4 linked regions of the Pelodiscus sinensis genome follow. The protein of the gene in region 2 interacts with the protein of the main gene of each other region in a pairwise test. Links are inferred from orthologs where the notes say so. Each region holds a gene or a part of one and is shown on either strand. Other genes may lie near its edges. The genes, in order: NAA50, BHLHE40, RHOBTB3 and AANAT.

Evidence for each region.
Region 1: the proteins of BHLHE40 (region 2) and NAA50 interact in binary tests that used the Homo sapiens proteins (3 or more experiments, as listed by UniProt). The two-hybrid records come from large-scale screens. The link is inferred for Pelodiscus sinensis from reciprocal best matches to the Homo sapiens genes BHLHE40 and NAA50.
Region 3: the proteins of BHLHE40 (region 2) and RHOBTB3 interact in binary tests that used the Homo sapiens proteins (3 or more experiments, as listed by UniProt). The two-hybrid records come from large-scale screens. The link is inferred for Pelodiscus sinensis from reciprocal best matches to the Homo sapiens genes BHLHE40 and RHOBTB3.
Region 4: the proteins of BHLHE40 (region 2) and AANAT interact in binary tests that used the Homo sapiens proteins (3 or more experiments, as listed by UniProt). The two-hybrid records come from large-scale screens. The link is inferred for Pelodiscus sinensis from reciprocal best matches to the Homo sapiens genes BHLHE40 and AANAT.

Annotation. Positions count from the first base shown.
Region 1 is NC_134711.1:141,203,741-141,211,515, reverse strand, and holds the start of NAA50 (N-alpha-acetyltransferase 50), read right to left. Parts: upstream 3,010-7,775; 5' UTR 2,847-3,009; coding exon 2,839-2,846; intron 1-2,838. UniProt on the Homo sapiens protein: N-alpha-acetyltransferase that acetylates the N-terminus of proteins that retain their initiating methionine. Has a broad substrate specificity: able to acetylate the initiator methionine of most peptides, except for those with a proline in second position.
Region 2 is NC_134721.1:16,269,836-16,277,642, forward strand, and holds the start of BHLHE40 (class E basic helix-loop-helix protein 40), read left to right. Parts: upstream 1-4,794; 5' UTR 4,795-5,003; coding exon 5,004-5,083; intron 5,084-5,287; coding exon 5,288-5,357; intron 5,358-5,788; coding exon 5,789-5,896; intron 5,897-6,894; coding exon 6,895-7,018; intron 7,019-7,807. UniProt on the Homo sapiens protein: Transcriptional repressor involved in the regulation of the circadian rhythm by negatively regulating the activity of the clock genes and clock-controlled genes.
Region 3 is NC_134716.1:71,203,537-71,211,514, forward strand, and holds the start of RHOBTB3 (rho-related BTB domain-containing protein 3), read right to left. Parts: upstream 3,008-7,978; 5' UTR 3,002-3,007; coding exon of another isoform or gene 2,873-3,001; intron 2,866-2,872; exon of another isoform or gene 2,727-2,865; intron 2,521-2,726; exon of another isoform or gene 2,499-2,520; intron 1,351-2,498; exon of another isoform or gene 1,221-1,350; coding exon of another isoform or gene 1,210-1,220; intron 1-1,209. Other genes in the region: RFESD (Rieske domain-containing protein), read right to left, coding at 2,873-3,001. UniProt on the Homo sapiens protein: Rab9-regulated ATPase required for endosome to Golgi transport. Involved in transport vesicle docking at the Golgi complex, possibly by participating in release M6PRBP1/TIP47 from vesicles to permit their efficient docking and fusion at the Golgi.
Region 4 is NC_134730.1:10,216,736-10,223,809, forward strand, and holds the start of AANAT (serotonin N-acetyltransferase), read right to left. Parts: upstream 3,017-7,074; 5' UTR 556-3,016; intron 1-555. UniProt on the Homo sapiens protein: Controls the night/day rhythm of melatonin production in the pineal gland. Catalyzes the N-acetylation of serotonin into N-acetylserotonin, the penultimate step in the synthesis of melatonin.

The sequences.
Region 1 (7,775 bases), on a different chromosome or scaffold from region 2:
CCGGACCCGCGGCGCTGATCTGCAAGCGCCGCAGGTCCGGCCCAGGTCTTCCGCCGCTTTGCTCAGCGTCTCCCTGGTCTGCAGATCTGGAAGCGCCACAGTCCGGCCTGGGTCCTCCGCCGCTTTGCTCCGCGTCTCCCTGGTCTGCTGGGGGGGGACACAGCTAGTGCCCCCCCCCCCCAGCAGACCAGGGAGACGTGGAGCAAAGCCCGGTGCCTGTGGTAGAGCAGGTGGGGCGCTGCCGGTTGGTCCCGCAGCACCGCTCCTTGGCGCTACTGGACCAACCCGGCAGCACCCCAGCTGCTCTGCCCCAGGAGTCCTGATTCAGCCGCTGCTGATCAGCTTCAGCAGCGGCTGAATCAGGACGCCTGGGGCAGAGCAGATGGGGTGCTGCTCTGCCCCAGGCATCCCCAAGTTAGCCGCTGCTGAAACTGACCAGCGGCTGACTACAGGAAGCCCGAGGCAGAGTTGCTCTGCCCCGGGCTTCCTGGAATCAGCTGCTGATCAGTTTCAGCAGCAGCTGACTTGGGGACGCCTGGGGTTCTTAAGTTGAATCTGTATGTAAGTTGGAACTGGCGTCCAGATTCAGCCGCTGTTGAAACTGATCAGTTTCAGCAGCGGCTGAATCTGGATGCCAGTTCCGACTTACATACAGATTCAACTTAAGAACAAACCTACAGTCCCTATCTTGTATGTAACCCGGGGACTGCCTGTACTCTAAACGGGAGTAGGATTGACATAAAATTCACTATTAAATCTCTATGAGGGAGCAGTAGTGGGATGTTCTACTTGTAACAGAATCCCCAAACTCAGAAACCACTGAAAAAGCAAGAGTACAGAGAAAATGGCAAAGCTCCAGTAGAGAGATGGTGCAGCATGGCACACTCATGGAGTACTGCTTATAACTATATCCTGCCAAGAGATCCCAGTGTGCTCTGCCCGGATGCACACAGACATACATATAAAATATCCAAGCCCAAACAACAGCTCTGCCTGATTCACAATCAACAGAGAAAAGAAAAGAATCAGAGAAAAGCCAAGCTATACAAATCTGTGAGAGAGAGAGAAGAGACAAAATTCTAGTTCCACCAACAAAGTAGCTGACAATGATTTTGCCAACTGTGGGCTCACCTTTGCTGATCAAGCTTATCGCCCTTCCCACATACTTGCCTATGCCAAATAAAGCAACTTTGACTAGCTCCCAAGAACATGGGAAAAGAAATAGGAATCTGTCATTTCTATAGGGCCAGGAATCCATCATTTCTATTGGGCAATATTTTATTCATACATATTTCCATAAAATAATTGCACATTTGTACCTGAAGTGTGTTAAGTTTCGGGACCTGTTTTTTCAATCTCTCAGCTTTACTCTCTCAGTCCCAAAAACCATTTAAGGTGTCTGAAACTAGACATGAGAAATAAGATACCTAGGTTGCTTGATAAAAACTTGGTGTATGTGACCTTACCCCAAAAAGTTAATAACAAATGGTAAAGGGCTAAAAACTCTAAGTACTTCAACTACCATTTTACCCTGCCTTAAGCAGCCAAACTGGAATAGTAATATCTGTCACTTACATAACACTTTCCAAACAGTAATGATTTGCAACACCACTTCTGGAGCCCTCTTATTTCATGGGGGAGAAACTAACACACAGAGGTGAGATGACTTGCACAAAGTCACATAAGAGGTCAACAGAGCTGGGAACCAAATCCAGGTCTCATGACTTCCAGCCCTGTGTTCAGAAAGCTAGACCATGTTACCTCTGTATAGCAGTAGAACCAGTATTTCATTTACTACATTTAAAACCTCTATGCCACATTTTCATAAGAGAACCAGAAAGGGAGGTCCTAAACAGATAACACTGCAAAATCATTGTTAGGTGCGAAGACTAGCTTTTTGTTCCATCCACATCCTGCAATCACAACAAGTTCTAAATAAATTTTAAAGGCTACATCAAAAGCAAATACTCGTGGAAATTACACCATCTTTTCAATCTTCCCTACAAAGCAGTCACACAAAGCTGGTCAAGGCCAGGCAGCATTTTAAGACAAAATATTATTTCCATTGTTGTTCCATTGGGGACTTCTCTGAGTGACTTCCCAGATACCAATTTGATGACCCTGCTTCTATCTTCATCATCATTATTATTATTATGAATAGGGGCTAAAGAAATTGAATGCTAAAGTTAATTCACTTGCATACGATTTTTTCAAGATAGTTTCACAGAAAAGACCTCTACACAAGACGATAAGCTACATTTCTCAAAAGCAGAGTGGAATGAACCAGCTCTTTCCACCTACTATTTCTGCAATAAAGCAGATAAAGTGAGACAAGGACCAGAAGAGTTGTTTTTGGCATGGGGGGGGGGAGGGGAGAAGAGGAGGTTCCTTCCAAGAGCAAGGTGCCGAGCTTCCTGCAGTTCAGGGTCAGCGTTTCGCAGACACACACAGTGTAACGCTACACCCCAGCTGAAAACCAACAGCTTCATCTCCTCCGGCCGGCTGCACACACGCGCTCTCCCCAGGACAAGCCACAATTCAGCAGCCCGCGGGCCGGGCTCGGAGCGGCGGGAGAAGGGGAGGCGGCTGCGTGGGGCGCCCCACGCGGGCGCTGGGCGGAGAGTGGCAGGTCCCGGCGCGTGAGGGCGGTTGCACTGGGATTAACGTCTCGGCGTTTGCGCAGCTGCGCGGGAGAATCGCGCCACCACTGCCCGGGCCGCTCGCTCGCTCGCGCACACTCCGGGCCCGGGCCGGGCTCCGCGGCAGGGCACAGCGGGCCGAGGCGCGCCGGCCGGGGAGGCCGCTGTCACAGCGAGGCCGGGCGGGAGCCGCACTCACCCCTTCATGGTGCGGCCTGGCGGGGCCGGGATCCGCGCTCGGTGCGTGCGGGGCCGGCGATGCGGCTCCGGCCTCCTCCTCCTCGGCGCTGGCGGTTCGTGCTGCGGCAGCTCCCCCTGCACATGGGCCTCGGGCCGCCCGCGCGCCGCGCTCCGCCCCGCCCGCCGACGTGACCCCCCCTCACCTCACGTCCTCCTCCCCCCCCCCTCGGCGCCTGGCGGCGGCGTGACTGGACCAGCGCTGCGCGGCACCGCCCACGTGACCTCTTCCCGAGTCGCTCCGCGGGAAGAGCCTTAGCCTGTCACGTGGGCCGAGGGAGGCCAATCGCCTGCCTCCGCATCTATGACCCGTCATTCCAAAAAAAAAAAAAAAGCATTCAAAGCTAGCCGGGCTCCCGAGCCCCTCATTTCCGGGGGAGGAGGGATAACACTCGTGACGCGGCGCATGCGCCCTGGGAGCGACTGATCAGCTGATCGCTGTCGCCTGCTATTGAAGAGAAGCGGCGGAGCGAAGTGGTTCAGCTGCCCCCGCCCGCCCAGGTGAGGCCCCCCCCCCTCCCCACCCCCCAGCAGAGGCGGGAAGCCTCGAGCCGGGCGGGTGGCGCGGGGGCTGCCGGGCCGGTAGCGGGGTTGTGGGGCGAAGGGGCCGCGCAGCGACGGCTGCGGGGGGGGCCGAGCCTGGGAAGCCGAAGCGCCGCCAGGCAGAACGTGGGGCTGGAGGCGGCAGCGGATCCATGGGGGGGGGGGGGCGCAAGTAGCGCCAATGAGCGCGACAGGCCCGCGGCGCAGGCTGACCCCGCGCGGTTTCTACGACTGAGGGTCCCTCGGGAAGGACCCGGCCCCGCAGTTTCGGCCTTTCATTTCCGGAATGGGGAAGAGCGAACGTGAAAGGCCTCTCGAGTCTCTTCAGTCTAGCGCCACATGGCCTGTGTGTCTCCTGCTCCTGTGACAGGGGCGCGCTCAAGTATCCGCATCTCGTTGTCGTTTCCCTTTCTAGCGCTTTGTGCTTAGCTCGTCCGAGCCCCATTCTTAACTGAAGGGTTCAGATGTTGCTGTTGGCATTGAAGGTCAGCTGATAACTAGGGATGTAAAAAGTTGGTTAAATAGATAACTACGTAATTGCTGAAAATCTCAAGTTACATGTGGTTGGACTGTGCAGTATAAAGTTTAAATAAGCTTTATATTGCAGTGCCTGCAGTGAAGCCTCTTCTCCCTCCCCCAGCCTTTGCTGGCTCTGCTTCAACTTTTGAGCCTCCTCCCAGGGAACTGGCCCTGCCTCTGAGGAGCCAGTGTGTAACTTGTGGTAGGGGGGCGGGGTGAGCCTGCCATGGACAGGGGGTTACTCCAGCCCAGTGGTAGGAGTAGCCCCTGCCTGCGGTGGACCCCACTGGGCTGGAGCAGATCCCTGCCAGTTAACAGGAACCAGTAAGCAATAACCGTTTAAAGTGATGCTTACCGGTTAACCTTTCACAGCCCTACCAGGGTGACTCAGTTCCTTCGGGGGAGTCACTGTATGGCTCCCTATCCAGTGTCCCTCCTACACTCTGTCTTGGCATGACCATAGTAGTGGCTCTCTAATTTTCTTAGCCTTATAAGCTTTAGACCATCTCATTCTGTAATAAGCATCTCCACATGCAGAGCTGTTCCTGAAGAGCTCTATGTGTAGGCCAAGCCCTTCCTTCTTCCAGAACTCTTACACCATGGCTTTGTCTACATTGGCACCCTTTTCCAGAAAAAGGAGTGCCAATGAGACAAGTCGGAATTGCAAATGCCGCGGGGGATTAAAATATCCCCCGCGGCATTTGCATGAACATGGCTGCCGCTTTTTTCCGGTTCGGGGCTTTGCCGGAGAAAAGCGCCAGTCTCGATGGGATCTTTTGGAAAATAAAGCCTTTTCCGGAAGATCCCTTATTCCTGATCCCTTCCTGATCCCATCCTGAAGGGATCAGGAATAAGGGATCTTCCGGAAAAGGCTTTATTTTCCAAAAGATCCCATCGAGACTGGCGCTTTTCTCCGGCAAAGCCCCGAACCGGAAAAAAGCGGCAGCCATGTTCATGCAAATGCCGCGGGGGATATTTTAATCCCCCGCGGCATTTGCAATTCCGATTTGTCTCATTGGCACTCCTTTTCTGGAAAAGGGATGCTAATGTAGACACAGCCCATGTCTAAGGCTTTCTATTTTTTATTGAATATTCCCCTCCTGTTCCTCTGCCTGCACAGACATAGATAGGCCTGAGAGCAATCCTAGATGAAATAATGGAACGGCTGATAGAGAACTCCTTTAACAAAGAATTCAAGGCAGGTGACTAATGGCAGTTGGCATGAATTTATCAAAAATAGATCTGGCTCCTTTGCTAACTTGATATTATTTTTGATTGAAAAAAGTATAATGAAAATACAATACAATTGATAAAGGTCATAGTGTTGATATAACAGGTTTACGTAAGACATTTGACTTGTTCCTGCAAGATATCTTGATTAGTGAATGATAATACAAAATCAACATGTGAAATGGATTAAAACCTGATAGGTCTCAGCATGTAACTGTAAATTGAGACTCATCGGCTACGTCTAGACTGGCATGATTTTCCATAAATGCTTTTAACGGAAAAGTTTTCTGTTTAAAAGCATTTGCGGAAAAGAGCGTCTAGATTGGCACGGACGCTTTTCTGCCAAAGCACTTTTTGTGGAAAAGCATCCGTGCCAATTGAGACGCACTTTTGTGCAAAAAAGCCCCGATCGCCATTTTCGCGATTTGTGCAAAAAAGCCCCAAACAAATCTGAGCTGTCTACACTGGCCCTTTTCTGCAAAAGGATTTTTGCCTGAATGGGAGCAGCATAGTATTTCCGCAAGAAGCACTGATTTCAGACAGTAGGAAGTCAGTGTTCTTGCAGAAATTCAAGTGGCCAGTGTAGACAGCTGGCAAGTTTTTCCGCAAAAACAGCTGCTTTTGCGGGAAAAACTTGCCAGTCTAAACACAGCCATCAAGTGTATCCAAAGGTATCAGTTCTTAGCTCTTCGCTAGACAACTTCTTTTGGAGGAAAAAAATGAATAGTGATTAAAATTTGCAGTTGACAAAAGATTGTGGGAGTAGTAAATGGAGAACATGCCACTGAGATCACTCAGTAAGCTGGGGAAAGATAATGTGTTTCAATTTAGCCAAATGTAAGTTAATAAATGTAGGAACAAAGAGAATAGACCATTCTTACAGGATCAGTGACTATCTTGGGAATCTGACTATGTGGGAAAAACTTTATCAATCATGATGCATAATTAGCTGAATGTCATACTGGTAGGTAACACTAGTCTGGGCTAACTTGATCCTTGGCTGTCTAAATTGGAAAATACAGTATATTACTTGTTTGGCACCGGTACAATTGCTGATGGAATAGTGTCCGGTTCTGGTGTCAACCATTCAAGAAAGACGCTGATAAATTTTAGAGTGTTCAGAAAAAGACCACAAGAAACATTCAAAATAGTAGAAAATGTTCTGTATAGTGAGATGATGTAAGGAGCTCAATCTTTTTATCTTATCAAAGAGAACGTTCAAAGATAATGTGATTACATTTATATGTACCTACAAAGGGAACAGAATTTTGATAATACAGACAGGAATATAGCAGACAGAAATATAACAAAATCCAAGTTGCAGCTAGACTAATTCAGATGGGAAACAAGGTATCAGTTTTTAACATGGTAATTAACCATGGAACCATTCACCAAGGGTTATGGTGGATTCTCCATCACTGGACTTCTTTATCAAAAGTAAATGTGTTTCTAACAGATGCTGTAGTTCAAATACAGCTACTGGGCTTGAAGCAGGAAATAATACAAGGAAAACCACATAAACTCTGTTATACAAGAAGTCAGGTGAAGTCCAGAAGTCTCCGAAGAAATTATCTCTGAGTGAAAGGTAAAGGTCCCATCTTTAAAGTAGCACAGAGATTATACAGCATCCCACCTATTGTCTTCCCTCGGTTAAAACAAGTTTGACTATGGTGGGTATGAGCTCCTGCTAGAGAGGAAGAACAAAAAAATATTTTTTCCCCTTCGACACAACTTAAATTTTCTTTTGACTTGAAAATATTACTGACTTTTCTTCCTGCATAGTCAAGTCCACATGACCCATTGGAGGGGAACAGTGTCAAGAAAAACAGAGAATGGATTGAGATGGAATGTCATGCCTGTATGTTTCACCCTTACTCACTATGTGTTTTGAGAAGTGTGACTGCTTCTGAGGGGTAGAGTAGATAGAGGAAATAAGAATAGATGTCTGCCCTGGTGGTGCAGCTGTCAACACCTACTGTATTTTAGAGGAACAGTGGGTCCAAAATTTCTTGATCCTCTTTTCTTAGAGGTGATCAGTCACTGTGTGCGCATTGGAGTTAAAAGTGACCTGCTCAGGAAAGGAAATTGGCCTATGTCTGCATTATTTTTTTCATAGTATACACAGTTGTCCTGAAACTTTTTTCTGCTTTTTTTTCATTAAGTAGAACATATGGAACTGACACATTGTATCAGAGCAATGGTCTTTTAGTTTAATATCATGTCTGACAGTGGCTCGTACCAACTGCATCAGACGAACCACCCTGCAATATAGACAAAAAAGGGATATCCTGTCCTCAGGAGTCTTAACTCCTGGTTAATGTTCTGCAGTTTAAATGTTTGTTCTTCCTAAAACTCTTTTTAATTGCATCTTTGTATTATCTTTTTAAAGGTCTTATCCAGAGATAGGGAAAAGACCTCTGGATTAGACCTTTTTTGGGTTGGGGGCTGCTGACCCACAGAAAAAACAAACCCTCACTGACGTGGCCCCCGACTGCAAAACAGAAAGATGCTTCTCACATTTCCTTTGCGTGTGAGAGCCTAGGGGGCCCCAGCTAGTAGATTTTGTGTGCTCCAGCCCCACAGAGGGGTGGAGGGAAGGCTGGAGTG
Region 2 (7,807 bases):
ATGCTCCATTTACCAAGGAGCTTAACTGTTGCATACTGTCTTTGGTTTCCAGTAAAGCTGTCAGTACTTGATGAATGATGCTGTACTGTCTAGCTGACAACTCCCTGTTGCCTCCCTTAGCCCTTTTAAAATTTTTCTCACTGCAAAGACTGGAGCTGAGATCTGGGACCTGCCTGCATGGGAAAAGAATTGCCGCACCTACTTACTAAAGAATAAGCCTATCTTCCGCCACTCCCATGTAATGCAGACAGGACTACCTGTTAAATTAGAATTAAGCAGATCCCATATAAACCTTTTACTTCTGTAGAAAGTAATGAAGGTTTATTACATAGGACCTTACACTCAGCACTATATGCTGAGAACTAGCCACTTCCATTCCTCTCCTCTTACTCTGGATACCCTTAGCTTCCAAAAGGTTTTTGGTATTTGATGTGGCTGTTCTTTAACCTCCGGTGCCAGTAACATGAAACGAGACTGTTGGAAATGAGAGAGGGAGAGTCAGTTATTTGATTACAGCCCATGGGCACATGCCTGGCCTTCATGGGTATATTAAGTAAGAGACATTTTAAACAAAACCGCCCTCAGTAACCAAAGGTCTGAATCCACTACTGTCTGTTAACTCCCTGGATTCCCCACATATTCTTAAGAGTGTCAATGATTTGAAGAACTGTATTACTAACATCTGTAAATAACTATAAATCTCTGTTGGACACAAGTTATTATTGTTGTTATCCTATGGCATCAAATGCTCTACAACTACCATTGGAAATGCCAGATTGTCCCTTAATGGCTTTAGAAAATAATGCCATTACTTTTAACATTTCATTATAGCTTCAATCAGGCATTGTAAAAAAATCTGCCATGGAGAAATGGCTCTGCAAACAAAAATTAAAGTGACAAATTAATGATTGCATCAGCCCGTGAAAGCTGTGCCAGGCACTAGGAAAGTGTAATTTAATTCTCCCACAATCTAACTTGATGCCCAAGAATGTAATAACTTCATTTGGGACTCTCTTTCTAGGGGGGAATCCAAAATCCTTGGCAACTACCATTAAGGTCATCAGTGAAACCTGACAAGGCACATTATTTGGCAAACATACCAATAGTGAAAGAGCTAAATAATGGGGGATTACCTCTGATCCTGATTTCTAGCTCACCACCCATTCCAGGAATGTAGTGTCTCAAAGTACCTGTAAGAGTCAAACAACCAGTGGGCATGAATTTTTCCACATATATTTTTATTTTAAATCTAAAACTTAGAGGTGGTGAAAAGTATCTGCCCTTGAACCAAAATGCTAGAATTTGCCAGTAGCAATCCCCTACCATAACTCTACTTATTTCTATTGTTTAATAAAGACAAGTAAGAGAAGAATAAATGAAAGTATGTTAAAAGCTTAAAATTAAATAGCTATATCTATACATTATTTTTAAATGCCCTCACCTGTGGTACAAATAAGCTTAGAGCTTTAAACCAAAGGATTTTAATGCCTAATTTATTTTTCCACTCTTTATGCTATTTGTTTGCTTTACAAAACTCTGCTTTACCAATTAATCAGTTTCACTTTGTAATAAGTGTTAATGAATTTATTTAACAACAGCTGTAGATTAACATTAATAAAGACAATCTCTGCTTTTAAGAGCTTTCAATTTAAGGGCCTGATCCTGCAAGTGCTTATTCACGTGCTTAACTTTTTAGGCACCAGTAGTCTCTTTGAAGTCAATTGGACTACTCATATACTTAAATATATGCTTAAGTTTGCAAGATCGTGGCTGAAGGGCCCAACGCTGCAGAGACTTGAAATCAGTGAATTGATCATGACAGTGAATCCTATGCAGGCTTGGGCTATAAAACACATATGAGAGAACACTCAGTGAGAGAATAGTTAGCTTTGTTTTGTGGTTCTTGGTTGGTAGCTATACTGTACTGTTTAGGCTGCAGACACCACAGGGGAATTTTTCTTTCCTACAAGTAAGATTTTTACCAAACCTCCGCTTTGGGTCTACAATGACCTGACAGGGTTTCGTTAACTGAGTCACCTTCTAGTGTAACAAGTCTACAACTCTAAACCCCTTTAGCACTTTTGCCACCACACATGCATTTAAATGACAGTGTATCCGGAAATGAGCATGCCATCTTCTCTTACATAAATGCTGTCTCCAGTCTCTAGCAAAGTCTTTGCTGACTTCAAGATTCTAGCCACAGTGACTGTCACAGGACTCTCAGAGGAGATAGGGAAATCTTTGATAAACCTTGGCTGGTTTTGTTATTACCTTATCTAGTAAATATACCTTCTTTGGAGTGATCTGTCCTCTCCTTGTTTAGTATGCAGAGGAAATGACAACATATCCTCAAAACAACAAGCCTGCTTTTGCAGTTACACTTCACTATAATCATCCTAAGCATTTGTACAACAGCAGGCAGACAAAAGTCTTAAATGCTTGACAAAGATCAAAGAATTAAACCTCCCCAGACACCTATGAAATAGGTAAGAGTGTAATATTTCATAGCTGGTCCTAGTTCTCAGCTATTCTGCTCCTGCTCTTGGGGAATTCAGAGGCTGCACAGGGGAATCCTAGTTCCCAGTTAAAGGTTTCATGTATACATAAACATGTTGCTGCTTAAACTTAGCTGATTTCACTTTGCTGAATAAGCAATACCAGTAAGCAATGCTCCCTCTAATCTTTTCCATCAATGTGCAGAATGTGCACCTCCACTAGAAACAAAACCTACCTGTGGGCGCCCTGCGGCATTTCAATTTCTCCTGAGTGGCTGCACAATCACACAACTTAGAGCAGGGATTTTCAAACTTGGGTCACAGACCCGCCAGGGAAAGCCCCTGGTTGACCTGCAACACTTTGTTTACTCTAAAGCTCCACAGACACAGAGAGAACACTTTGACCCTAGTTTGAAAACCCCTGGCTTAGAGGGAACACTGCTGGTAAGTGCCTTATAGTGGGCCCATAATAGGCTCTTATGTCAGTAAAAGAATCATACATGCTTATGCTGATAAAAAACTTTCTCAATGTAGATCAGGCCTAAATTACGGTAGCCTCAGCCCTGAGATTGCTGTAATTATATACTCTGCTTCTCTGCCCCCTCCTTCCCCCTCACATCGCCTGTCACATTACCAGTTGTCTTAAATCAGCCACTGACTTGGACAACTGCTCCAAAGGAGCGCACCGCTGAATTCCAATTGTTGGTCACTCTGCCTTTGCCCTGGGTTCAGCTGCAATCTCCTCAGCCCAGACCATGTCTGAGTGCTACTCTGCTAATGCCAGAGTTCACACAAATCCCTGCACCCCTTAATACCAGTTATTCTCAGCGGCATTCCCAAGCCTGGGTATTTCCCTCTAACTGTAGAAATGCACATAGAAGATAATGCTGTTGGCCAAATTCTATGCTGCATTTTATCAAGCCATTAACCACTGCATTACTATAAAGTACAGACTTTAAAAAATAATTAAATTACCTGACAATAGATATGGCATGTTCTGTGTCTATTCCCACTGGAAAGCTGCTATTATTGCATAATAGCTCAGCGGTGGTAGCCAGTTTCTTTTAGTGGGTGGCAAAGTATTTGTCTGTAGTGGCATCAGGGGCCTTGTCCCAATCATTTCCCTGCTGTTTGCTGGGATTTTCAGTCAAAAGCACTCAGAAAATGCATTTTTAGCATATCAGCTTATGAATGTCTTCTCCTCGTCCTGTTTTACACCACTGAACATGGAGAATCAGCTAAATACGCTGCAGTCGGGTGCAGCCGACATGCTCTGCCTCTGCCGGTTTCCATGAACCTGGAGCACTGCCCACTCTGCTGGGAATAGTGCTAGGCACTGAGCCGCTTCAAAAGCCTTTTCCACGTACCAACTAATTCATCCAAACAACCCCTGTGAGGTAGATAAGTTAGGTTTTACTCTCCAACCTCCTATTTTACTGAGAGGGAAGCTAGAGCTCAGTAGTTAAGTGAGGTGCTTGAGGCCAAAGAAGTTGTCTTCTGACTAGGGAAGGGCATTAGGAGGGAGCATCTGGAGCGTCTGGTCTCCATAACCCCTAGACCTGCCACAACACCCTCTTCTGTGAGATCTCTGCAGTTCTACATGGGGGTCTCCCCAGCAATGTTACCTCTATTCTTTTTCCGCAGCGGGGCAGAATAAGTTTTATGAGCACTGCGGCATGTGCGGATGTGCACCACCAACAGGCACACATGCTGCCAGCGGTGGGGGCTGTGCTGCCTTTGAACCTCCCCATGGTGTGCAACCCATTTCTCAGCTTACAGGGAGCACTGGCCATCACCCAACCCTCCCCACCCCACCTCTGGACACCCCCTCTTCTGTCCCTCATGCCCTCCCCCCCCGCCACCTGTGACACCCCCGGGCGGGGACACCCAACCAGCCTGCCTCCCCGCTGCGCCACCCCAGGGTGAAGGCAGAGAAGCCAGGGCCCGCAGGTGCCACTTGCCCACGACTCCGCAGGGCCGGGGCGAAGGAGGGAGGCGCCGCGGAGGCGGGCAGGGCAGCCCGAGCCCCTTCGCTCGCTCCCCTCGCAGCCCGGCCCGGCGGAGCTGTCGCTGTCGCTGTCGCCCCATCACGTTCGGGCTGCTGCTGCCGCCGCCTGGCGTGCGCGGCGGGGCGCCGGGGAAGGCAGGCAGGCAGGCAGGGCGGGGAAGGGGGGAGGCGAGGCCGGAGCGCTGTCCGACACGTGAGGCTCATGTGATGGGGGAAGGCAGGGCTCTCCCGCCCCGGCCCAGACAGACGTGCCGGGAGTCACAGGGTAGAACACGTAGCGCCAGCCACCCACTCGCTCCCATTTAACCCAGCCTGCCGCCTGCCCGCGACTCCTCAGCTCGCGCCCCGCACCGAGATGGTCCGCGCGCCGTAGCCGCCTGCAGCCCCGCAGCCCGTCCCGACGCCCGCGGCTCTGCCACCTGCCCGCGCCCCGGGGCTCTCCGAGGACCCGTTTCGCTGCTTTCGGCCGGAATTAAGTTGCAGCAGAGCCCCCCGCTGCAATGGAAATGATCCCCAGCGCCCAGCCGCCTCCTGCCTGCCTGGGCAAGCTGCCTGCGCTGGAGAGCAACGAGATGCCCGGGTAAGATGCCTCTTCTTTGGGCCAGTGCTCCCCGCCACCTCCCGGGGCGCAGTCTGCCTGCTGGGTTTGGTTGGAACTCCTGGTCCTTCCCCCTGTGCCTGTCGGGCTCCTTGCGTTCTGCATTTGCCCCGTGTGTGTGTGTGTCTGTCTCAGTGTGTAGGGCTAATCATGCTAATTCATCGCACTTTTATGTCATCTGTGCAGGCTGGCCTTTTCTCACATGTATCAAGTTTACAAGCCCAGAAGAGGGTTAAAAAGAAGTGAAGATAATAAGGTAAATGGAGGAATTGCTGAATCTTTGCATTGTTAGTTAACACCTGTGTTCATTTGAAAAAATGAAGTTTTATGCATTAGTGTCTGTCTTTCGGGTTTTTTTTAAATCTGCTTTTTGTATAAAGCTGAACTCTTACAAAATTTGCTGAGGGATTTAGGAGGGTTGTTTTAACATTAGACAGTTTGAATCAAAGTTTTTTTTTTTTTAATGTTATGAGGCTGTTGCGCTCACACCTATTGTCCTTGAATCTGGGGCTCAGAAGATGAGAGGGGAAAATATTTATTTCAGTAGCTGTTACATACAATACTTTTGGGTACACAGAAGCTTGAGGTCTAATTTTATTTCTAGATCACCTTTTACCATGCGTCTATCCATGGTGCTAGGAAGTCATCTTGTGTCTTGTCTGATTGCTCCTTTCTTTTGGCTTCCAGGAGACCTATAAATTGCCCCACAGACTGATAGAGAAGAAGAGACGTGACAGGATTAATGAGTGCATTGCCCAACTGAAAGATCTCTTACCAGAACATCTCAAACTTACAGTAAGTGAAAATCTGGCTAATATCCAAACTCCTCTTCCTTTTGGGGATGTGCCTTGGTTAATGGATTTCTGTGCCATCTAGAGGCTTCATCTCAGCACTGCAGATCTAAGTGGAAAAGGCTATGATTTGGGCAGAGTTGCCACATGGATCTATTACAATTGGTTTTCCTTGCAGATACTGTGAATTTCTAAATAGTGTATATCTGTGGTGGTGGTGGGATGATGTGAATTAAGTTGCTGCAATATTAAAATAAATCATGAGGTAAAAGTGATTGTTGTGGGCTTGATTTGAATGTGGGGGGATTTGTTTTTTTTTTTAAATTGAGCCTCTGAAAATGTTCCTTCTTGCTCTTTTTGAAGTTTTACTGGATGCCATTTATAAGTTGATCCCTAACTTATCTGAGAGTCAAGTCCCTTTAGAGATTGCTTCCATACTTGCATTCTCTGTGTTCTTGTTCTGCAACACATTTTAAGGTCAGCCACTTCTGCTTCTGTAGTGTGTGTGTGAAAAAGAGTAAAAGCTTAAGTGCTTGATTAAAATTAAAAGAAAAAAAATCTCTTCAGAAGTTATGGGGAAAGCCATCTTGGCTGACATCCTGCAGGACACCCCTCTCCTGTCACTGTTCAAAAGAAACCCTTTGACTGGATCCCCCTGTGTTAAGGTCATGATACCAGCAGGGGCAGCAGAATAGATAAATAAAATAGTTGTTTGAGAGCTATGCAGTTGGTTCTAAAACACCCATAGGGTGTAACTGTACCCTTCACTGCAACCCTCTTTTTTATTTTTTAAGTTTACATAATATGTGGATCAGACTCCAAATGTTAACATTGTTGCTCAAGACAACAGATTTCACTGAATAAAGACACCGTTTTTAACCTTGTCCGCCAAATTGCAGCTCACTTTTTCTTATATATATCGCAAGGAATTGAAACCTTTGTAAGATTCCTTGAAACGTGACTGACTCTAAAATAAGTACTAACCTGTCCATTTGTTTCCAGACATTAGGTCATTTGGAGAAGGCTGTGGTTCTTGAGCTTACCTTGAAGCATGTGAAAGCACTAACTAATCTCATTGAGCAGCAGCAACAGAAAATAATTGCTTTACAGAATGGTTTACAAGCTGGTGAGTATTCAAGTCATGCTTGTATCATGTGAGAACCCTGGACTGTCTCATGATCTTACTTTCAACATCTTTGAAATACTGGCTACTTATGACACTTGGTTTGGGAGGTGGGAGGAGTAAGCGTTTCTTTTTTTTTCTTTAGCACGCAAACCCCCCTTTATGTACATGTGGATTTATGAAAAGATATCATTTATCCATCTAGTCAGTTAATTTATAACTAGCTGTGAAGTTGAATTTTAAAGTATATTAAATTGATTATAGCTATTTTATTTCATAGTACAGTTTTGCTGTGAGGGCTTGATCCCAAACTGATGGGAGTCATTCCATTGACTTCAATAAGGTTTGGATTAAGCCCTGATTCCTGCACCCCCCCTAAATATGAAAACATCTCTCTGACACATCCTTTTTGGTTTCTCATTAAGTTAGTTAGTACCCAGCTGAGCTGCAAAGAGTGGGCTATTTAAAGGCCCACTGTATTTTACATCTGTTTTTTCCTTCCCCTTCTTTGTGACACTGAGTCTGGCAGGATAGAACTGGTTTTTCTAAAAAGACTGCTATTGCTTGAACAGCCACTAGATATGCAGCAGAATTACACAGCCAAACCCAATATCACTTCCCAAAGTTTAGACCAACCCCGCCGCTCCCCAGGTGCATGCAATTGATTTGGGACGATTTGGGCCCTTTGTACTCAATTTTCATTAGCTGCAGATGAGCCAGATATTTCTTGCAAATCACTTTGGAACTGATGTCTTTCTGAGGTGATACCAAGGCTTATTCACTGTGCTGCCT
Region 3 (7,978 bases), on a different chromosome or scaffold from region 2:
ATGTCATCGATGTACCGTAGGTAGAGAAGGGGCAAAAGGGGACGGGAGTTGAGGAAACGTTGTTCTAGGTCAGCCATAAAGATATTAGCATGCTGCGGGGCCATGCGTGTACCCATGGCTGTGCCGCTGATCTGGAGGTATAAGTTGTTCTCAAACTGGAAATAATTGTGGGTGAGAACAAAGTTACATAGGTCTGCTATCAGGTTGGCAGTGGTGTCCTCTGGGATAGTGTTTCTAATTGCTTGTAATCCGTATTCATGTGGGATATTGGTGTACAGAGCTTCTACATCCATGGTGGCAAGGATGATGTTATTGGGGAGGTTATCGATGTTTTGTAGTTTCCTTAGGAAGTCAGTAGTGTCTCGGAGATAGCTGGGGGTGTTGGTTGCGTAGGGTTTGAGGAGAGAGTCTACATAGCTGGATAGACCAGTAGTGAGCGTGCCAATACGAGAGATGATGGGACGTCCGACCAGATCCCCTACCCACTTCTGCACCCAATTTTCCACTGTTAGCCCTGCACCCAGTGGGGCCAACAGCCACGTTGGGCCCTGGGGCAAGGTGAAAGGAACCAGATCCACACCCCCCAAAGAGGTGGAGCTGAGGGCAGTCAGACCTTAGCGCCACCCAGACTGTGGTGTTTCTTCCTCCCCCAGCCCTCAAAGCTGTGTGGAGTGGCACATCCTGTGCTTCTGCAGCAGTTCAAAGAAGTTCCAGTGCCTTTTGAGTGGCCCGGCCCCAGGGCAATTGCCCTCTTTGCTCCTCCCCCACATCAGCGGGCCTGCCTGCACCCTACTTCCCACCCAAAACCCACACCACCACTCCCTCCTGCACCTATTTTGTCAACATGGTTGGTTGGCTGGTGATCCTCAGAAAGGTTTGCACTGAGTGGGTTGGGCCACAGGCCAAAAGTTTAAGAACTACTGATATAGGAGTATCTCCAAAAGCAAACAAAAACCAGCCCTCCCTATAAAGAAAAGCAAATGAGCTAAAACTACTTTTTAGACAATGTCAGAGTTGGGGACATACACTGATTTAAAATAATACAAGTGTTAAGGTTTACCTACAAAAGAAAAACAAAATTAAAAAAATGTCTTCATATGTACTGAGACGAATTGAGGGGGGGGAGAAGGAGTAACCAAAAATGGGACAGAATCAAACTCTAAAGAGGGTCAAAGCAATTTAGCTCCTTAACGTAAGTCACATCAATACCTTAGATCCATGCTAGCACATGACAGAGATGAAGAATGGATGAAGGGACGAAGTTTCAAATTAACAAGTGCAGCACCAGTTCTATAGCTCCATCACATCCCACACCCGTTTTGTTCTCATATGTATCAATTCTTTAAGTTCTTCTTTATTGAAAAAGGTTTTCTGAAACACAGAGGAATTGGTCTTAGCAGCACAAAAAAGGCTGAAATGAATGTTGGCAGAACCGATAAGAGGAAGGCTGAGGCTGGGCTGATAACAGAACATGAGAGATTTCTGAAAGTTGTTTTCTTCTTTACTCCTTATAAATAATTCTCATATCTGCCTTCTCCAGATGTATCTTGGAGTCATATTCTTTTAAAACTAGCCAATTAGCCCGTCATAAAACGGGATTTTCAGGTCTCTCCTCCACGTTGGTTGTCTTTCCTGAGCCTCTGATCTCTCACTGCGTCTCTCTCTCCCTCTTTCTTCTCCTCCTACTGCCTCCCTCTCTCTCTCTTCTCCTCCCCCTCCTGCCTCTCACTCGGGGGACCGTGGAGCCCAAATGGCCTTTTGGGCTCCACACTCCCCGTGCTGTATGGGGAGCGTGGAGCCCAAACAGCCTCTTGCACCACTTGCTCCCATGCGGCGGCCTGGCTGAGTGGCACAGAAGTCAGCCGAGCGCCACGGCGGGAGGCGAAGGGGGGAAGACGGTGACATTCACAGCCAGGGGGCAGGGCCTGGAGCCGCTGTCATGCCGCACGTCACCACCTCACTCCCTTTCCCGCCATGGCGCTCAGCTGACATCTGCACCACTCAGCCAGGCCGCCACGGGGAAGCAAGCGGCCGTTTGGGCCCCGCACTCCCCATGCAGCACGGGCCACCCAGAGGGAACAGTCAGCATTTCAGCGTTACAGACTCACAGACACTGGGCTACTATATATATGATGTGTATACGTTCTTATGACATTCCTATGGCCATTCATGCATGGCAAGCAAATCATTCTCCATCAAATATTCCTGCAGCCCCTGCAACTAGTAGAAATACCCCCATGGCACTTTCCAGACTTTTTACGAGCTGATTATGCATAAATCAAATAACTTTACAGCTCTTTCAGGCAGTTCAACCACCCCAGTTACAGCTCAGCCCATGTTTTTATTTCTAATTAAGAGTTTATATTAATTATTAGAGTCTCAGGACTACATTAACTTGAGCAGGGCTCATTCCGCTTTCACAGCTAGCTTTGTTAGGCAGGGAATTGTACACTCCTGATTTCTAGTACTGATTCTAAATGTAACATTTTCAAACATACTGATCGTAACGACACAGGAGCGCGCACTGGGTTCCTCCCCCCGCGCCGTCATACCTCTTCCGATACGTCACAGACAGAAACCCCACTGCGCCGCCGCAGCAGCCTCAGAGGCCACCCCGCAAAGAAAACTACAACACCCAGCAAGCACCGCGCAAGGTGACCCTCATAACCCGTTTAGAAGAGCTCGCGCCAAGCGTTCTCCGTCAGTAGAAAACAACTGTCACGTACCCCTGGATGCGTCCGGCAACAGCGGCCGACCCTGCCAACGGCCGGCGAGCAGCGCTTCAGCCAAAGGTGCCGCGGAGAAGCACGTGACAAGAGAACTCTAGGCCAGCGCAGCACTGAGCGTCATGTGACACGTGACGAGCTCGTACCTGCGCGTCACGCGAGGGACGCCGGAGGATGGAGCCGGTCTGCATTACCCCCTGGCGGGGAGGCCGGCACTGCAGTGCGCGTGGGCAGGTGCTGAGCGCTTTGGAGACCGGCAGCCGTGGGGATCTCATCCGGCCGGTGGAGCAAGTGGGGAGGGGGTAGCTCCACGCCCCGGAAGGGGTGGGGCCTCTGGCGGAAAGAGCGGGAACCTGTAGCCTGCTCTCAGGGCCAGCTGGCAAGCGCCTGCTTTCGGTGCTCCAGCCGTTAAGGGGCTGCTGCTGCAGTAAAGGCGGCCAGGAACTCTGAGCCAACTGGTGACTTGCCCTGCTCTCTCCATCCTCCCTTGGCTGAACAGGGAGCTGGTGCAATAGTGTAACCAGAATGGGACAGGTGTGCGTGGGCAATGAAGTGGAGAAGGGGGATTGGGAGCAATGGGAGCCTTGGAAGAAAGGAAAGGATACACATTTTACTACAGTAATATTTTAGTAATGGCCTCTTCTGCAAGTGGAGATAATATTTTGTTGATCCACTTTATTCATAATAGGCAATGTCTTGGAAAATTCAGATGAGTTCTTTACCACCAGACACTTGGATCATTCCCCTCTGGTTTGTCATACTTGGAAGCATTAAACCAGAACCCTAGATATAATTTAATTCAGCACCCACCATACACACAATTTGAACACAAGAGACCTGCTTTGGAAGAAAATTAAAAGGTTAAGAGAAAAAAAAAACCTAATTCAGAGATGACATAGAGCACTGTTTCTTAAATTCTTTGAGATCATGGAACACAAAACAATATTTTTGTGTAACATCTATGAAAATTTTCTTCAAAACAAAAAAATTTTTGTCAGACAAAAAAAGACAAAAAGAAGTAACAAAAACAAGAGGTCACAGCATACCTGTGAGTTGCTCACGGAACACCAGTGTTCTGCGGAACATAGTTTAAGAAACACTGACATAGAGGGCAAGCATAACTATCCAGGTTACACAGAATATAAACATAAATATAAATATAATCTCAGACTTTACACTTCTATATTAGGTAAAATCCTTTGTCTAGTACAAAGAAAACCAAGAGTAGGAATAAATGGTCAGTTTTCACAATAAAAGTAAAAAGTGGCATTCCTATGGATCTGTACTGGGACCAGTGCCATTCAAAATATTCAGTAATGATTTGGAAAAGGGGAAATGGTGAGGTAGAAAATTTGTGCGTGCTACAAAATTATTCCAGATAGGCTAACTGTGACGAGGCTAACTGTGACGAGTTATAAAAGGATCTCACAAACTGGGTGATGGAGAAAGAAAATGGCAAATAAAATGCAATATTGATAAATGCAAAGTAATGCACATTGGAAAACAATCCCAACTATCCATTCAATAGCATCTAAATTAGCTGTTACCATTCAAGAAAGATATTTTTGGAGTCATGGGGATATTTCTCTGAAAAAAATCCAGTGTGTGCAGTGTCAGTCAAAAAAGTAAACAGAACGTAGGAACCATTAAAAAGGAATAGATAATAAAAAATAAAGTAGTATAATGTCAACATATATCTCCAATGTATGCCCACACCTTGAATACTGCATGCAATTCTGGTCACCTCATCTCAGAAAAGATATAGAAAAGATGAAGAAAAGCACAATGAAAATGATTATGGGTATATAATATCCCCACAAAGAAAGATTTAAAAAACTGGATCTGCTGGAAATTTAGAAAAGATAATCTACTATATATTTTGGAAATTTTGACTCTATGTCTATGGGTTTGTTCGTTCAAGAGCTCTTAAATGGTAAGAGCTAGGATCACCAGTTTTGGTAGGCAGCTTTCTTTTATCACAACTCAAAAACAAGGTAAGGTTTTGGTTGTGCCAACTCATTGGCACAGCCAAAGTGCCTGGAATTTGATTGTTTCTCATAAAATGGAAAGGGGGGGGGGGTCTGATCAGAGGACAATTATATTGTAGAATGACACGGAGGGTAGCAAGAGGCCAGAATAGGAATGTAAGCAACTAGTCGAGTCACTGTTTCAGAGGCAGCAAAGAGGTGAGGGGGAGCAGGAGCTGGTCCTGGGGAGGAGCCAGCTTAGAAGGTGGTGTGGGGAGAAGCGGGGCAGGGGAGGCAGAAGCACAGTGGTATGGAATTCACTGCGGCTCTGCTTTTTAAATGTAGTAAGAGCCCCCTGGCTCCCAGACTGCTGCCCTAGGTTCTTACTACATTTAAAAGGCAGAGGCGCAGTGGGGGACCCGGTGCGAGCCAGGACTCAGCAGATATGGTTTACGCCAGGTCCCAGACCACTGCGCTTCTCCTTTTTAAATGTGGTAAGAGCCAGGTGGTAAGAGCCAGATTTTAAAAAAGCAGAGACACAGCAGTCCAGGACCTGGCACAAGCCGGGTTCCGAACCTACTGTGACAGACCGGGCTGGGTCTGGGCACAGCTGAGGGCATTTGCTCAGGGCAAATTGCTCAAATTCGGGGCTCTCTATAGCCCCCCAGACTGGAGACCTTTCCAAATAGGCCACAAACCAATCCCACAGAGCACTTCAGCTGCCTGCCTGGCCAGCCAGCAGCCTCACAAGCAAAACCCCTACGACACCCCAGCAATATCCGTGCCCCAGATGGCCCCAGGCCTCATACATAAGTGAGGGATTTAGAAACCAATCTCTCCTTCCCTTAACAAGTTCTGTCCGGTTCCAAGAAACCAGCCACAGATCCCAGGTCAATTTATACTCTGCACCTTACCCACACACAGACATTATACAAGTACATGAATAACATATATGGAATCAGAAGAAAGTATGCTTCTATTTGACACTTCACATGGCCCCCTTTGTACCACTTTTGGAGCCAACAACCCCTGCCCCATGGGTGCTGCAGTGATCTGGCTGCTTCCTTAAAATCCAGTAACATGACACCTACCTCTGCTGTAGCTCTGCAATTTATATGTAGTCCAGTGGTCACGTAGTAGATCTTGGAGCCTTTGACAGGTGACCCTGACTGGTTTGGCCAAGAGGCTATCAAGCACAGCACTTCAGCTGCCCCTTCCCCCGTTCCTGTGCAACTCTTGCCCTTTGCCTTGGAGTTGTCCCTCCTGCTTGCTGTGCAGAGCAGGGGAGATAAAGGCGGGACGCTGATGTCAGGATGCCCCCTCTCCTACCCTGTGTTCTATTTCCACAGAATGGAGTGTGGGGGGGACAACAGGGCTTGAGAAGGATGGAGTTTGCTGGCTACTTTGGAGAGTGGTACAGAGCCAGGGCAGAGGTGAGACTGCCTTAGCCTCCCTGCCCCGCCACCCAGGGGCCACCTGTGATAAGTAGTGTCCAGCTATAACCCCATTGGGCCAGCAGGCGTTAGGGGTGGAGAAAAGGACAGGTATTTACTATATATTTCAAAGAGTTTTTATGTCTGTCCCCCAGTTGGGGGACATGCACTCCTCCCCCAACTGTCTCCCACTGGCCCAGTGTTCCCTGCAGTGTTTCAAAGCAGCAGCACCACATGAAGCGTGAGGCCAACGGGGGACTCACCAGCTGGCCCTCGGCTCCACAGGGCATTTCAAAGCAGCAGTGCCATGTGGAGCCCAGGGTCTGGTCCAGGGCTCCATGTGGTGCTGCCACTTTGAAGCACTTCTTCCTCTCCCTCCCTACCCTGCTGCATCTTTCTGATAGAGGCAGCGGCAGGGGGAGCAACTAGTCGACTAGTGTGTCGACTATCCAATAAGCATTTGCTTATCGGGTAGTTGACTAGTCGTTCACATCCCTAGCTGGGACTGGACAATTTAATGAATCACTCAAAATTGCCCTGCTCTGTCCATTCCCTCTGAAGCATCTGGTACAGGCCACTGTCAAAAGTCCTGGGCTTGAAAAACAAGCACCCGAGTTTTGGGATCACATTGTTATGAAGATACAGGATGACAAGCAACAGCTGCAGAAATTCTGGATGCACAAAGCCATCTTCCAGCAACTGTTCGCAGAGTTTTCTCAAACCCTCCACCACAGGAACATCAAAATGAGAGCTGCAGTAACAGTAGAGACATGAGTGCTGATCGCTGTGTGGAACCTGGCGACACCAGACTGCTGCTAATCAGTTGTGAGTCAGATCCGAGTGGGGAAATCCACTATGGGGTTTCCAGTGATGCAAGTGTGCTGGGTCATTGTCTCCTGCGACAAAAGACTGTAACTTTGGACACTGTACATGAAATAATGGATAGCTTTGCAGCAATAGGATTCCCTAATCATGGTGAGACAATAGATGGCACAAAAATTCCCATTTTGGCCTCAGACCACCTTGAGATGGAGTACATCGACACAAAGGGCTAGTTTTCTATGATATTGCAATTGCTAGTGGATCGCTTGGATCATTTCATTGACATCAATCGAGAGTTCAGTGGGCAACTAGGTTGGGAGTGAGATGGAGCTATTTCTACCTGAGCAGCCTGCCCAGGCTTGGTTGTCAGGGGCTGGAGCTGAGCAAGCCAGAAGCTCCCTCATCTCATGGCATGTTTCTGTGTATGCTACTATAACACTTCAAATGTACCTACCTGTTGGTATGGACTCTGAATGTTAGTGTAACCCAAACAGGCAAAACTGAACCAGGGACCTTAATCAGGAGCTTAATGCATGAGCCTCTAGTACTTGAGTTATAAAGCCAGGTGGCTCTCAGCTAAGGCTGTACAGCAAACTCATTTTTCTTGCTCTGTAAGTGGTCTAAGGGCCACTAACTGGACAGTGAAACACACCCAATAGGTGTGTGAGTTACATTAGCAGTAGTCATCATATGTTGGATAATTATTTAAAGATTCATTCACTTTCATAAATTCAATTTTATTCCACACCCATGCAAACATATTTATGTATTGGTTATGTAAACTTCATACACAGAGGGAAAAGTATTTTTAAAAAAGAAGGAACAGGAAATTCACAAGCACATTTTCCAGGGAGGCTTTCAGAGTTGTGGGTTTGTCCAGCTGTCATTGTGCTGCTGTGGCTCCTGAGGAAAGGAGGAATGTGGGGAGAAGGTTGTGGAAAGGTCTAGGAAGGCAATTCTGTATGGGTTACAGAGGGAATCAGGCATAGATGTGTTCAGACTGAAATTCAATCAGGAACTGCAACATGTC
Region 4 (7,074 bases), on a different chromosome or scaffold from region 2:
CGGAGGCATGCGGCAATGAAGTGACTTGCCCAAGATTGAACATGCAAATATTAGATCCCTCACATTCATGTGCCGAAGGAATCTAAACATTCATACAAACCATGGAGATGTATGTGCTCATCTGCTCAAGCACACACTGACAGGCAACTGAAACCAATGTTCTTTCCAGTCTAGTATGTAAATCTATTTTGATTGGTCTTTGAATGCTCAGGTCGTGTGGAAACAATGAGGGTTTGTTTGCATCACAAACCATAAGTTTAGGTCTGAAAATTCTTCTTGCAGCAAAGCGCTGTCTATTCCAAAATGTGGGGTTTTCAGCGCCAAGACTCCACCCGCTCAGATTTGGGATGGATGCAGGGGCTGGGGGAATACCATGGGATCCACATTCTAATCAATGTCTATGCATACACATTTTAATGTAACAAAGCTCCTTGCACTACAAGACAGCGCACCAAATGCAATTCTATGGAGAACAGAATGGCCTCTTTACAGGCTGCTTTCCACTCTAGAAAATCAGTACCACACATTTCAGTAAAGTTGCAGACAATTAATTACCTGTGTGCGTGTATGAAACAGGGTTTCTTGTAAGAATGCCAGAGTTGTTCCTCTAGATGGCGTGGTCTGGTCTTGCAGTCTTACCGCCAGAGGAGAAAACAGGCAGCAGTGAGTTTTGACCTACCTACTGCTTTTACTTTGCTGTGATTTACGAAGCTCTTGCTTATATATTTGTTATGTACAGAGCACGTGATAAAATAGTAAGACGTTTATAAACCCTGCTGAGTCACAGAGAGAGGTGAGAGGCTTTAAGGTGACATGCCAGCAAAAGCATCCGATGAGGCTTTTCTTTCCTGGCTTGAGTGTCTGCAGGGGGATAAAGCATTTTAGCTGATTGCTAGATACTCAGAGTTGCTTGCACAACTCAGGTGGCCAAGTAGCTAGACCCAATAACTAGGTGAAGAGCTAGAAAACATGAAATAACACATCACTATATAATGCAAGGAGGGTCAGATCTAGATCCATTTGAAGTCATAAGAATGGCCAGACTGGGTCAGACCAAAGGTCCGTCTAGCCCAATAGCCTGTCTTCTGACTGGCCAATGCCTGGTGCTTCAGAGGGAATGAATAGAACAGAGAATCATCAAATGAGCCATCCCTGGTTGTCATTCTCAACCCTGACAGACAGAGAATAGGGGTTGCATAAGACCCTTCAATGAGCTAAAATCCAGCATGGTGAAAGCAGCTGTAATGTCATTGCTTTTGGTGCAGCTGCACCCACTTGCATCACAAATTGGAGCTGCAATTGACCCCGTGGGTTTAATAAGTATTCTCAGCAGAGCTTTTAGCTTTCCAGTCAATTGATGGGTTTTGTCTGTAGGTAAATATGTTGTGGAATGACTTACATTGCTAATCCCTAGCAAAGCAAGAAATGGACTCATGGGACTTGCAAAATGAAATATAAGGAGTCTGTGTTTCTTCTTGCTTACGTGAAAAGATAACACCACTGAAGCCATTGCAGTCAGCCTGGTGTAAAACCAGCACGAGGGATCAGAATTTGGGGCAGCCCTAGGAAAGCAGAACCATGAACATGCTGTTGAGCTTGGACTGCGAACAGACATGCATCAGGAAATTACTACCAGTTGAGGCAGGAGGGCTGTTTTCACACTAAAACTGCGTACGCAGCAGCAGCAGTCTACAAGGTGCTTTACTAAACTCAGAGATAAATGGCTGGAGGTGGCTCCCGTTTATGCTGGTGTCAATCTGGAGTAACTCCAGTGAGGTCTATAGAGTTACCCTTAAGGAAAAATCAGAATCTGACCGAAAGTTTCTGCTCTGAGGGTCTTACGATTTAAGGAGCCAGGCTGCAGTGAGATTTTATGGCTGAGTAAAGCCATCAGGATTTTGCCCTAGCTGAGGCAAATACAAGATGGTAGCAAATATTTCAGACACAAGATAACCTTGCTGGTACCTTCCTTTGTTATCAGCAATGACTTTATGGGCCAGATCCTGTTTGGAATTAGTGATGTAAAAGTGAAGTGACTTCATTAAAGTCACTAGTGTAACACTGATGTAAAATGGGAATAACAAAGAGCAGAACTTGGCTCTTTATGCGGTTAAAGTAAATCTGGAAGAGGTCAGGATGTGCCCAACTTCCAAGTCTCACTCAGTTACCCTAAGGCTAAGTCCTGGTTTTCTTTTCAGTATTAATCCAAACAGAAGTACAATGCAACAAACACTCACCCAATAAAAAATAAACCTTTCAGCAAATAGCACTAACAATAACCAGCCTGTCCCCATTACAGCTAAACTGAACAGGGCATTTCTCCTTGTCACTGTCTGCCAGCTGTGGAGGGGTCAAAACCTCAGCATCAGAGCACTGGCAAATTACAGATATTTACATATTTAGCAGCGCCCACAGCATCTTCAAAGGGCTCAGAGCTGGCACTTCTGCATCTGTCTGCAACCATCCTTTATTGTCCATTTGTCAAGCTACGTAGCCAGCTGGTAGCTTATGATTTGTTTTTTTGGGGTGGCGGGGGAGAAGGAAAGAATTACATCCCTCATTCTCATCACTTTGCAATTAACTGACCTATAAATTCAACCACCCGCTCCAAGGAGTCTTGGCTGTCATAATGATCTGTGCAACTTTCTTCCCTCCCCTGCTGTAATGCATTATGATTGAGACCCATGAGGATTTAAGCAGCTTTTAAGATTTGTGGTGGAAGAGTATCTTGCCTTTACAGGGCAGTTTGGCCAGTGAGAGAGGTTCTGATGATGTAATGTTTCTACTTTGAGTTTCATTTCCTTGGTGCATTTTTACTTTATAACCTGTGCAGATGTGGAGTGTAATTAGAATGAACCAGACTGCTCCAGCTTGCCTGCTTATGAAATTGAACTTATCACCAAATAAAGCTCAGTGAGCTAAATTATCTGCTGGTGTGAACTAGTGCAGCATCTCTGATGTCAGTGATCCTGTGACAGTTTATGCCAGTGAGAATTTGCCCCAATGATTGCTTTTCTAACTCTCCTCCAGACTTCTAATATCCGTTTCTACAGAGCACAGCATGGGGCAGCCAATATCATTTGATTGCTTGTTACCACAGTAATGTCACAGCAGGGCTTAGAGATTCCACCGTCTTACCGCTTAGTAGTTGGAGAAGTTGCCCCTGCACCTCACTGCTTTCTTCTTGGCAGCACAGCCTGAGGCAGCCACATGCAGGAAAGTCACAATTTCATGGACCCATGTCTTTGGAGTCCCACTTGCCTAGCTGGATTTCCCTGCTCTTTCCAAACACTGCTTTTCTGTGGGCAGAAAGGGGGAGATATGCACTCCACACATTGTGCAGGGCACAGCTGAAGATCAGCCTTGGGAAGAAGCCAGATACAGTTATCAGTCTGTCTCCATTAATATGGGTGAGGAGGCTCAGTTCTGGGCCTTCAAAGTTTGGTTTTAAGATGTTTGTTTACAGTTTGGTTCAATGGCTCTCAGCACCTCTGGCCTCTCTTCTGACTTAGGGCCAGTTAAATGGGGGTACTGATGAATCAGAGGGAACACAGGGGGCTAACGAAGCAAGAGATGAAGTTTCAATATACACCAATATCCAGTTCACATATCATTCTATGCAGGACTCCAGTGAAGTGAAGTGAAGTGAGTGTCTCTGTTCTCCTCTCCCCAAGCGCTGAGCAATTAGCCTCATTTGCTTTTTCTCTTGGGTCCCAGTAGCTGAACTAAGTCCAGTGATCTCAAGGTATAATCCAGCTAGTGCAGGAGGAGAGGGATGGCTGCAGAGGAGCCCTTGGGTGGGCCCTACACCAAACATTTGAATCTGAGCCCCACACCTTTAGGACAAACTACATTTCGGTCTGAGCTTTGGGACATGGACTTGGCTCTAATTGTTGCTGCATCATTCTGCTTCCAATATAAGCACAGCAGGTCACCAGCAAAAAGGGTCTGGGGTCCATGCACTTACTACTTTGAGTGCACTAGACTCTGTAAGGAGGCAGACGCACTGGTACAGAGCACCACCTAGTGGGGAAGACAAATTCACCTGCAGGATTAAGCTTAGTGACTATCCATCATGCTTCCAATTCAGGGGTTTGTTTTACAAACTTTCACCAGGAACAAAAAGGGAGGGTGTTTAAATCTCTCCCTTGACATACATGAAGAAATACCCAAGTAGGGAGACTGAGTCAACAGGCTGGTAGGCAGTATCTGGCTGGAGGGCTGTCAGTCTGAGTCTCTGAAATAAGCAAAGCCTGAGTAGTGAAGTAAAGGCCTCAACCAAGGCTGTCAGGACCATCAGCCCTGATCTGCAAGGGCAGCTCTAAGAGTCAAAGGGGAAATCTCTTCCATTGGTCACTCAGTCTTGCACCATTCTGCTGAGCCTGCCACTAGTGGTTTCCATACATAATATAGGGTATGTCTACACTGCAGAGGTTTTTTTGGAAAAACAACTGTTTTTCCAGGAAAAAAAAGTCACTTACATCCACACTGCAATCACGTTCTTTTGGGGAAAAAGTCGAAAGAGCAGAGGGGTTTTTCCACCGTTGGCAAACCTCTTTCTATGAGGAAGAAGCCTTTTTCCAAAAGAGCACGTGTGGACAGGGAAAAGGGAGTTCTTTTGAAAGAGGAAAAAGCGCAGGCGCCCTGATGACCACTCCATCCGTAGTAATCAAGAAATGTGAGCTAGCATCCATTCAGTGTGGACGCTATCTTTTGAAAAAGCAGATCGCTTTTTTGATGCGCTTTTGCTATGTAGATACTCTCTTTCAGAAGTGACAAGGAGTCCTGTGGCCCCTTATAGACTAACATGTATTGGAGCATAAGCTTTTGTGGGCAAAGACCCACTTTGTCAGATGCAAGATCTCTTCCAGAAAAGCTTCTTCCGAAAGAAGCCTGCAGTCTAGACATAGCCATAGCGTTCAAAAGCTTCCTAACATAGTGTGTAGTTCTGCTTCCCTCGTAGTATTTCTCTATTTGGTGACAGGTTTGAACTAGAGTTGTTAGCTCCTGCTAAGCCAATGGGTGTGAGCTGTGATGATTGTGAAGCTGTCAGTGACAGAGGAGTGGAGAGGCTTATGTAGGCCTAAATCAGCTTTGCAGGCAGAGTTGGGTCAAAAGGCACCAGCAGGTGGTGCATGCCACAGAGTGCAGGATCCAAGCAAGGTCCCAGTGCCACAGCAAGTCTCCAGTTCTTCCCCAATGGTGGAGACTTCTCCAAACATTAGGATGAAGTAGGGCTTCAGAGCAGCTCTGCCCCTACTCAGCAGCCTCGAGTGGGACTCTTGTCATGTCCAGAGTAGCAGCAGGGTGGGTCACTGCAGCCTAGCTACTTAGGTTGGCACTGGGAAGACAGTTTGGGCCCAGTGCATGCACAGTGCTCTACAGACACGGAATATAACAGAGTCCTTGCACCAAAGAGCTTTCCATTCGTGTCTGGGTCTCTCTCTGCTCCTAAGAAATCAGTGAATATTGAACCACTTACTGAAAGCATCCACCCTTTAAAATGTGTCATCCCAATTCTGAGAGTGATGCTCCCTCAGAAGTGCCAATTTGAAGTTAAATACCTGTCATCCTTACTGTAAGTGGGGATCCCTGTCCTCTGACATTCCCTTAAAATGCAGTCATTGGAACATCCAGACAAATAATGTGACCTGTTATCTCTGATAGCCATTTACCCTCCCATGTTTTCCCATATTGCTATATGTACATGGTGTCCAACATGCTAGACACTAGCCACATGTGGCTATTTGGCTGGCTGAGTGGGGCTAGTTTGCTATTGCAGTAGCCACTATAGGGCATGTCTACACTGGGAAATAACTCCCTAAATAATAATTTCAAAATAGCATGTCCACACTAAGGGAAGCCTTGAAATCAGCCTGAGACAGGCTCTGTTAATGTGGATGCACTACCTAAACTTAGGGCTCCAGGAAGCACTGGGGAGTTGTTAGTCTGAATGACTCTGGGGAGCAGTTATTTTGAAATAGAGGCACTGGAGCCTCCATACTGATGCTATTTTGAAATAACTATTTTGAAATTAGCATTATTCCTTGTGGAAAGCAGGAGTTATTTTGAAATAACCAGACTCTTATTTTGAAATAACAGGCCTGGTAGCGGAGACATTCCACTGCTTGTAGACCAGCACATAGTGGCTACTGCTTCAGAACTGATGGACACCCTGGCTGTAGGTCAGGGCTACTAAACTTTGGAAGCCCCAGGGGCCACAATGACACTCACAGCACATGCCAAGGGCCACAACTTAAGTGTGGTTGCATATACATGCAAATATATGCGTAAATATATGCAAATAGCTTTTCACACTGATGGGCATGAATACAAAGATTAAGGCACGACTACACAACACGTAGGCCCTATTTAAGTCAGTTCTGCTGATATTAATAAAATGCAATATTTACCTGATTTCCACCTATATGGCAGTACTTTTAATGAGCAATGAGAGTCCAGGAATGTGACTACTAAAATGCATATCAACAGAAGACCATTATATTGACTCACCATTGTGGAGCATGTTCCCAATGGAGGCCATGTTCAAAGGATCCATCTGGCGGGCTGCATGTTGAGCCCCGCATAAGCCCATACAGGCTCAGCTCACCGGCCTTGTGCGGGCCTCGTGTTTAGTAGCCCTCCTGCTGTAGGTGGTCATTGTAAATAATTATAGTAAGCTGCTAATTTCCATTGAATGGCCACAAGATGGCATAAGAGCATTTCTTATGGTACAGAGGATGTCAATATAAGTCACTCAGCAAGAGGAATGAGGAACAAAATCATGGTGAACATAAACTGGCTTTTCATTGTTTCCTTATTATGTTATTCATAATAAGGCTGCCCATTGATAGCAGGCTCCCACTGCTATCAGAGTTCATTGTAAACAACTTCTGTGAAATGCCACCTTGCTGAAACTAACACACATGCGCACGCACGACTGGCTCCCATGAGCAGCTTTGTAGAGAGAGCCCTAGGCTTTGTACACCATTAATTTGACCTGGAGGACTAACACACAAAGTAATATTGTAGAAAGTCCAGGTCGTGTTCTCTGCTGGTGCAAACTGGAGCAGC